2 linked regions of the Xenopus tropicalis genome follow. The protein of the gene in region 1 purifies or fractionates together with the protein of each later gene. This does not show direct contact. Links are inferred from orthologs where the notes say so. Each region holds a gene or a part of one and is shown on either strand. Other genes may lie near its edges.

Region 1 (5,075 bases):
TGTGGACAAAGGCAAATCTAGATCTCCGGAGATGGACTTGTAACCTCGAGATTGTTGATATTTTTCCACAATTTTGGTTCTCAAGTCCTCAGACAGTTCTCTTCTCCTCTTTCTGTTGCCCATGCTTAGGGGCAGATTTACTAATCCACGAATCCGAATCCCGAAAGGGAAAAAAATCGTATTGGAAACAAAAATTTGTTTTTCGTATTTTGCGCGACTATTTTGTCGGCGTCACGCTTTTTTTGTATTGAGCTATAGTAAACGGCGGAAAAACCAATCCGATTTTTTCGCTACGGCGATGAAAAAGTTGCGGAAAATATATGAAAAAGTTGCGACGGCGACGAAAAAGTCGCAATAATACTGATCATTACAGAAAAACCGCATTCGGACGCCTTCGGACCGTTCATGGATTAGTAAATCTCCCCCTTAGTGTGGCACACACAGACACGCAATGCTAAGTGAACTTCTCTCCTTTTTATCTGCTTTCAGGTGTGATTTTTATATTGCCCACACCTGTTACTTGCCCCAGGTGAGTTTAAAGAAGCATCACATGTTTGAAACAATCTTATTTATCCACAATTTTGAAAGGGTGCCAATAATTTTGTCCAGCCCATTTTTGGAGTTTTGTGTGACATTATGTCCAATTTGCTTTTTTTCCTCCCTTTTTTGTTCTGTTCCAATACACACAAAGGGAATAAACATATGTATAGCAAAACATCTGTTACTGCAATACTTTTCTGTGAGAAATACTTTCTGGGGTGCCAACAATTTTGACCATGACTGTATAGCTGCTGTTTAAAGGAACAGTAACACCAAAAAAATTATAAATTTAAAAAAAACTAAACTATAATGTACTGCTGCCCTGCACTGGTAAAAGTTTTGTGCTTGCTTCAGAAACATAACTAGAGTTTATATAAACACTGGTGTGTAGCCATGGGGGCAGCCATTCAAAAGAAGAAAAGGCACAGGTTATATAGCAGCTAACAGATAAACCCTGTAGAATACAATGGTGTCTTATCTGTTATCTGCTATGTAACCTGTGCCTTTTCTCCTTTTTTCCAGCTTGAATGGCTGCCCTCATGGCTACACATCAGCTTATTTATATAAACTATAGTAGTGTTCCTGAAGCAAACACCCCAGTTTTACCAGTGCAGGGCAACAGTACGTTATGTTTCAATTACTTTAAAACACTTTCATTTTTTGGTGTTACTGTTACTTTAAAGCAGTGTCTGCCTGTCCTTTCTACTCTCTGCCCTGGTGGCTCTGGGGTTTGAAACAATGTAACACAAGGCAGCAGACTGACAGACCTGCCTTGCTGGAGGAGCCTGACCTACATTGTTTAAAAAGTCATAACCAGGGGTTCAGCAAATGCTGCTTTCTATAGCAATTACAAATTACTTTTAAAGCTCTAAAATGTTTAATAAATGCATATTGGAAAGTTGCTTATAGTTATGTTTTCTTTTATTAGGCAAAACATTATTTTTGGTTTTGACATGTCCTTTAAATTAACCACAAAGTTAATTTGCTGGGTGATTATTTTCAGAAATACTGTTTTCCCCTAGTATACATATTTTATCAACCTAGACTCATGTTTTTTTTGTTCTTCAATGCTATGCTTTATTATGTAGCTGTACAAAGCACTGGAATGCCACGCATTAGCCACCATAGCCGGGCAGTCACGGATAAACCACTCCTCTTAATCGAACGCAATTCGGTGGCAGCTATTTATTTTACTTTTGCGCCCCCTGTAGGCGAGCTTTTTAGTTAATGCCAGTCTCCATAATAAATGTGGTTACATTTCTCTTGAAAACTCAATTTCTCAATAATGCTCAGAACTTTGGAGTTACCACATAGGGCTACTATATTATCCTTATCATACCAAATTTATAATCATTCAGACTGCAACTAATAAAACAGAACTCCTAATTGCCCCACTCTTTGCCCCTTAAATTACCCTGCTTGATTGGCGGGGGGCAGTGGGTGGGAATGTGCTGTGTTACCGTAGCAACAAAGAGAGGCGGTGTGAATTTAGGATCTGCCCCCTGACGCCATCTTATGGTGGAAGAGGTGGCTCCGGGAGAGAGAAGAGTGGTGAGAAGTGATGGTCTGCATAGTGAGAGGGGAGTTTTGCCGTGTGTGGGGTAGTGTTGCTTTGCAAACGGGGAAATGAGGGAATAGCTGCAGCCAGAGGAATAGAGAGCCGTGATATTGCAGGAAACTGTGTGTGATGCTTATTAGAGAGCTAGCAGTACAGTGACGGATCAGTATCCGGCAGGCAAGCTGCACCCCAGCACTCCTAACCTGCTGCACACTGTCCTGACTTACCGCAGCAATCCCCCCTCCCTCCTATTACAGAATGTTTCAGGACTTTAATCATCTCCAGGTTGATCAGTTTAACACAATAAACTGCTCCAGGATTGCCAGAAAACTGGCTGAGGAGTATGGAGTATTATATATTGAGAAAGGGGTGCACATAATAAGAATTATTGTTCCCTGCAATACTAGCATAGAAAATTAGCAGTCTATATAAACTATATAACTAGATTTTAAAAATGCTTTCAGAGAAAACCTTCCATGCAAACTTGCAGCAACTTTACTATTAGTTTTAGGTAGTAACATTAACTACACTTTTACACATTCCTAAAATAAGCCATAAATGCTGTAGTCTTATATTAGGAGTATATCTCTGCTTTACTTGTGTCTTGACTGGAATGGAAGGGTTTGCCACCGCACACCTCTTTAAATATCCAACTATGGGAATGCATGCTGAATGCATCAAAACAAATATATTTCATTTTGAGATGTTAACATACTTTTCACTAATTTAGGAAGCTTAACACAGTAGCCTAGCTGGACATCAGGTGTTGGGATTGCATACTAGCCACTACAGCACCTTGTTAGTGAAGATCTGTGCCCCCCAAAGATGCCCTTGTAGCTCCCCATTTTTTTCAGCTGTTTTGCACCATGCAATCTGTACAGCTGTCAGTTACTGGCTCTTAGGGACCAACTCTCAATATACAGTAGAAGTCACTGTACAAGGCTGTGTAATTCATATTAATATATGAAATTCACAAACTGAAATTACTTATCTGAACTGCCCATATATAATTTTCTTTTTTTTTTTTTTTAATAATCCAGGAAATACACAGTAGTGTGCCTGTGGCTCACAGGGACCATTTCCCCATCCCCCTAAGGCTGGCAGATTCATATAACCCCTCCCTTATCTTTTTCCATATAAAGGTGATACATTCTGGGGCTTGAAGTCCCTGTGCTTCCATGGTGGGAGGTGCATAAATTCTCTGAGGAGTTCCTCTGAGAGGAACTTCACGTCTCTGGATAATATCACATGACAAAAGATCAAGGAGCGGTTGTATGGATAGTGAAAAATAATCCCTGTTAATTAGAAGCAGAGAAGCAGATGATTATGTATTATTCTCAATCTGAGGAATACTGTTAAGTGTTTATCCTTGTTTTTTTACATAAACCCAACTGACCCTATGTCAGAAAGGGGATATATATCAGTCCTGATGGTGTCTGCACTCCAAGGCTTTAGTATTCTGTGGGGTGCACAGCCAAAATCTGAGTATTTAGCATGAAATAATCCATGGCCGGCACACCCTTAAAATTCAAAAAAATTTTTTTATTGAAAACTCATTGTTTAAAAACCTGGTTTTTTTTTGAATTTTAAGGGTGTGCCGGCCATGGATTATTTCATGATATATATATATATATATATATATAGATATATATATATAAAATATTAGTATGTAATATGTTATATATGTAATTAATTTTAACTGGATACAATTAAGGTTTTGTCAATGATTCCTATATATGACCAAAAGATTTTAAATGCTTGTTATAATGTGCTGTGAGTGACTAATTATTAATATTAACACATATTTATAAAGCACCAATATGTAGCCCTATAAACTAATAATAAGTATGTATGGATTAAACATACAAATTTACATACAGAAACAACCAATAACTAATGCAAGAGGTAAAGCATTGTCCAAATGAGTTTATAATCTGAAAATCTTGTTTAAATGTTTTCCTTGGTATATTTATTATTTTTTTCAATATTTAATTCCTGGTATTCCTGGCAGCACATTTCCACAGCATATACACCATACTCACACACACACACACACACACACATACATACGTACAGTGATGCTTGGAAGTTTGTGAATTTGATCTAAAACATCATCTGATCTTCAAACAAGTCCTAAAAGTAATAAGAAAACCTAGTGTAACAAATGAAACAAAAATTATTATATTTGGTCATGTATTTATTGAAAAAAAAATGATCCAATAACATATCTGCATGTAGCAACAATAAGTGTATCTTTAGGATTATCATATCATTTGAAGGTGAATTCAGTCTGGTGTTTTCAGTCAATGGGATGACAATCAGGTGTGAGTTAGAGACCCTGTTTTATATAAAATAAAAAGGGGGTACCAGCAAAGCCTGATCACACATACAACACATTTGTGGATGTGTATCATAGCTCAACAAGGTGTCTAAGGACCTCAAAAAAAAGAGTTGTTGATGCCCATAAAGCTGGAAAAGATTACATGATCTCAAAAGAGTTTGGACTCCACCAATCAACAGTCAGACAGATGGTATACAAATGGAGGAAATTTAAGACTGTTGTTACCCTACCCAGAAGTGGTTGACCATCAAAAATAACTCCATCTGGAAGGTGTCTTATAGTCCGAGAAGTTACAAAGGAAACCAGGGAAGCGCCGGAACTAGGGGTAAGCAGAAGAAGCACCTGCCTAGGGTGCAACAATGGGTGTGCCAGGCAGGTACCTCTCCTGCCTACTCCTACTCTGCGCTCCCTTGTCTTTGCCCCCACCACTTGTTATTACATGATGGGGGCAAATGAGAAGGATACTGGAAGAATGTTTTGGGGATGGATAAAGCCAAAATAGAACTTTTTTACTTAAATGAGGAGAGTTACATTTGGAGAAAGTAAAACACTGCATTCCAGCATAAGTACCTTTTCCCATCTGTGAAATGTGGTTGTGGGAGTGTTCTGGTTTGGGCTGGTTTTGCTGCATCTGGG
Region 2 (4,590 bases), on another chromosome or scaffold:
GTTACTAATACTGTTATTGGGTCTCAAAATCTATATACTGTATATTCTTTTATTTCTGTCTGAAAGAAAAAATTCAGAGTACCCTGATTTGTACTTGTACAAACCTGCTTTGTAAAATACCAGTTTTCTCAGGCTGCAAGTAATCAAAAAGTTGTAGAACTTGAGATATTGGTCATCACTGGCAGGTTTGTATCTGTGTTATAGAACTCAATAGGCTATATATTATGAGCTAAGGCCACATGGGGCTCTTTCTCAGTCTGTATAAAAGCGCAAGCTGAGAAACAGCCCCTCCTATTGTAACCATGTCCTCCTGTGTCTGCACTCAGAATCACTGCATCAGCCTCGATTCAGACACACAAAGCATATTTCAGTGCAAAAATGTATCACGTTTTGGTGCAAAAAAATTCACTCTGCGTGTCTGAATCCAGGGCAACACGGTGGCTCTGGGTGCAAAGGGGACTGCTGATGCCAGTGGATCAGCTGATTCCTGGCCTCCATATAAACACAGGCTTAAAATCAGCACTGGTGGCATAAGCCTAACCCTATCAACAGGAAATGGTTGATTCTAGGAGACTTGGAGACAAAGGTTTATAGGAGCATGAAACCAGAAATGTGCATTGATCAGTCCTATTTTTTTTTGTGAGTTCTATATGGTGGCCTGTAACTTATTTTAAGGAAATATTTGATTTTTTTGGAAATTTTTATTTCTGTGGAAATATTTTAAATGTGCCTAACTGAGTACAACTACAAATATCATTTCTGCCCCTGCCACCTCACACTAACTCACGGCCTTCGCCGGGAAGCTCCAGGCACAGCAGTACTGCTGGTTCTTGAATAAAACACTGTATCAGGGTGTTTTGATATAATGGCAGAGCTGGATCTACTATAGAAGAAGGATGCTGTATTTTTATTTTTAGCTGCACCTATCATTGTCCATGTCCTGAACCCCAACATAATGACTGGTATTTGTGCACAGCCCAATGTTTAATGCACAAAAGAGAATAAGCAGCAATAAAAGTAATATTAAGTCTCCAGCACAAAAATACATATATTCTATTTCCTTTTAGCAGTGCCAAACGATCAGTAAGGCTGCCAGGAATGATCAATGTAAACACATAAAAATATATTTTGCATTAATGATTGTCATCTTAAGAATGATATGTATTTGAATGATTCCTCAAATATATATGTATATGCAGAGCTTCAGTAATTGTTAAACTGCTGATTCTAGATCTGCAGTTTAGTGCTGGAGAAGTTCCAGTTGATAGAGGACTCCACAGATGTTGAACCCCACAATGCATAGCAAAGCCTTGGGCAGGGCAATGTGGTTCAGGACATACTGGTTAGTGAACAGAAACCCAACAGACAACTTGGCTAGCAACATCTTCTGATGCCTATACAGTCAGTTCATCACTTACTTCAAAATGCTGTGGAAATGATAACACTTTGAGCCATCAAATAGTTTACCAAATAAAAACACTGGCTTGCAGGAGATGATAGGACTTGTAACATTTAACCAGCCACATGCTGTTAGCACTTGGATCAAACTGAAATTTCAATGCACGTCTCAAGCAGTATTGACTAGAATCACATTTACACAGTATTAAGTGTGTCTTCCTGTAACTCGAGTTGCCATTGTTTCTGACAGACCTAAACATACGGCAAAGGAAATATTGGAGCAAAATCTAGAAAAATGTTCATTGTTTTAAATCAATAGTCCTTTAACATTCAAGCAGTTCAATGTTTTCTATAAAACACTGGAGATTTCTAGAGAATCATCAACTATTTTCATTGCCTTTTCCTCAAGTCAGCAGAAAAATGCCAGTGTACTTCCCTCTGAAAACTATCCGGGAAGTTCCAAAATATTTCTGCACGCACAGCTTGTCAGTTTCTCTTTCAGTTCCTAAATCAAGTATTTGTCTGGGTGGAGGTTCATATTTGGTTAGGAGGTGGCTATATTCTACACTCCATTTGCTTCATTCTTATGAAGAGCTGCTCTTTAAATGTTGGGTCTGCAAAGGCTTCACGTGGTACTCATAGATTTTGAGTGCAGGGCCTAATTTTAATGAAAGTCCAGTCAAAACATCATTTCTTGTCATAAGCAGTAACGACTTTCCATCAATCTCCTTTAAAACAAAGAAATAGAAAGTACAGTCATTATTTTTGCTTGCCATTTAATCAAAACCTATTTGCTATTGATAAAGAATCCTTATAATCAATCCCAAATCAATGAAACAACTATAAAATCACCATCTCTAAAACAGCATGTGTGAAGAAAATCGGAATTTGCAGAAAAAGTGCTAATTTCTTCCTTTGGGGCAATTTTTCAAAGGAAGCCACTACAACATGCATTTCATCTATTTACATAGCATGTTTCCTAAAGAAAAAAACTGGGATAGTGTCTGTTTGTTAAAGGAGAAGGAAAGATAAAAACTAAGTCTAGGTAAATACAGCCATAAGCACTTACAGAGTCCTCTATTTAAAAGAAACACAGGATTTCTTGTCTCTTTTTTTTGTAAACATGATGTTTCAATGTCTGACTTCCTCTCTCAGAAACACCCTTAATTCCAGTGGCCAGAGTCTGCGCAGCTCTCTCGTCTCTGCTGCTCCCCCCTCCCACCAGAACGCTAAGAACTCCCTCCCCCCTCCCTTAGGAATGTGTGATCTCAGATATAACGGCTAGACTACAGTAAGGAAGCTACTTAAAATGGCTGCTGCTGTCTTAAGCTGTTTACTTAGGTATAGTAATGGTTCCTGCAGAATAAATATATTGTTCTAGGTGGCACTAATGTGGCAAATCTATTGGCAGTAAAATGGCAAAATGACTTTCCTTCTCCTTTAAGCCTTGACTTAATACAGAGATTTTGTATTGTAAATTGCAATAAGAAACAGACATGAAAGGAAGATGAAGTCCTTACATCTTTCTTTCTGTTACATGGCATTAGAGCCCTAATATTAGTCTGAGCCAAGGTACAGTATACATTGCAAAGTGCTGCTGTATGCTTGATTGTCACTCTTATGGGACTTTTAGAATCTATGGGTAAAAGAGTAGCACTGTGGCTATGATACAATTGCATTCTGAGAATTTAGCTCTGTTGCTAGCTATGTTGTTAAGTCCTGCAGTAAAACCCTCCTCCACTTGTGAACTGCCCAACACTACTCCACTTAGTGGGAAAATGTACAATGTCCAGCTGAAGCTGAAGTGTACATTCTGATTGACGGGTCGCTAGGCAAAGCATCTAAAGAGGTGCAGAATCCTTTTAGAAACTATATGCAGTAGAGCCACATGAGAACATCAAGTTGTAAGGAGTCCTTTCCATGTACCTGTTCCTTAAATGCACTAGCTTGTTCTTCAAATCCTGCAGTTTTGAAATAATTTACAACATCATCCACAGCCCAGTGAGCTGGATCAGGCGGTCTCCCATTCTCCACTGAGCTGTAATGCATAAAGGCAGAAAAAGAATATAATAGAAACATCATTTATAAAAGTGAGAAGGTTAAATGCATTTATTTTAACTGTATAAAAATAAATCACATTACTTTGTCAGATGGATTTATATATAGAAGTTGAAATTAATTTCTACGATCACTTCCAAATTTACTTCTTTATTGCCAGACATGAATCTGGTCAGGTTGGAATTGTACTCATACTCACAACTTTATTTATGTGTAAAGTTGTTTTAAGGACTAAAGCACATGAAACACTTTAATCAGTGCCAGGTATGAATGCCAGCTAGAACTAACTGAATGAGTTATTACAGTGCAAATATGCCCACATATGCCTTATTGCCATGGCATAAGGTAATGGGAATGTACCACTGTGGAAGTGCTAAAGTTGACAGGAACAACATAAGACGTTTGTGTTGCTAACTGGATGCCAAGCAGAGGTAGGAGTAAAAGTAGATGCATTAACGACATTGGTGAGAATTCATTCTCTTTGTTGAGGAGATGTATTCCAGATTCCTGTGGGTCCCCTATAGTGCCAGGCTCAATGAATCCCTGTTGAAGCTATTCTTCAAGGACAAATTTGGAGGCTAATATTGTATTTTCCCTTTGGCACACAGACAGACAGAGTTTCTTCGGAAAATAAGCACAAAGGTGTAAATGACCTTGGAGTTCAAAAAACTTGGAAAAAAGTATTGTGGTAAGTACTGTATATACTTGAGTATAAGCCGATCTGAATATAAGATGTGGTACCTAATATTACCTAAGAAAACTGGAAAAACTTATTGACTCGAGAATAAGCCTAGGGTGGGAAATGCAGCAGCTACTGCTAAGTTTCAATAATCAAAATAAATACCAATAAAATTACATTAATTGAGGCATTAGTGGGATATATGTTTTTAAATATTTGTTTCAAAGAAAAACAGTAAACTAGCTCTGTAAGCGGAGAAGAGGGTCAACAAAACCAATATGGTATCAACCCCCTTAGCTCAATCAGCAACCAAGCTAAAACACAAAGTTAAAATCAAAACGATATATACAGTCATGGCCAAAATTGTTGGCACCCCAGAAAATCAAGTATTTCTCACAGAAAAGTATTGCAGTAACACATGTTTTGCTATACACATGTTTATTCCCTTTGTGTGT

The links. The genes of interacting proteins can lie anywhere in the genome.
Region 2: the proteins of l3mbtl3 (region 1) and samd13 purify together in Homo sapiens (affinity purification with mass spectrometry; 3 studies listed by BioGRID and IntAct, counting the BioPlex papers as one, with this or other methods). This does not show direct contact. The link is inferred for Xenopus tropicalis from reciprocal best matches to the Homo sapiens genes L3MBTL3 and SAMD13.

What each region holds. Positions count from the first base shown.
Region 1 is NC_030678.2:83,383,733-83,388,807, forward strand, and holds the start of l3mbtl3 (lethal(3)malignant brain tumor-like protein 3), read left to right. Parts: upstream 1-2,018; 5' UTR 2,019-2,055; coding exon 2,056-2,120; intron 2,121-5,075. UniProt on the Homo sapiens protein: Is a negative regulator of Notch target genes expression, required for RBPJ-mediated transcriptional repression. It recruits KDM1A to Notch-responsive elements and promotes KDM1A-mediated H3K4me demethylation.
Region 2 is NC_030680.2:77,728,385-77,732,974, forward strand, and holds part of samd13 (sterile alpha motif domain-containing protein 13), read right to left. Parts: intron 3,437-4,590; coding exon 3,325-3,436; intron 2,127-3,324; coding exon 1,983-2,126; 3' UTR 1-1,982.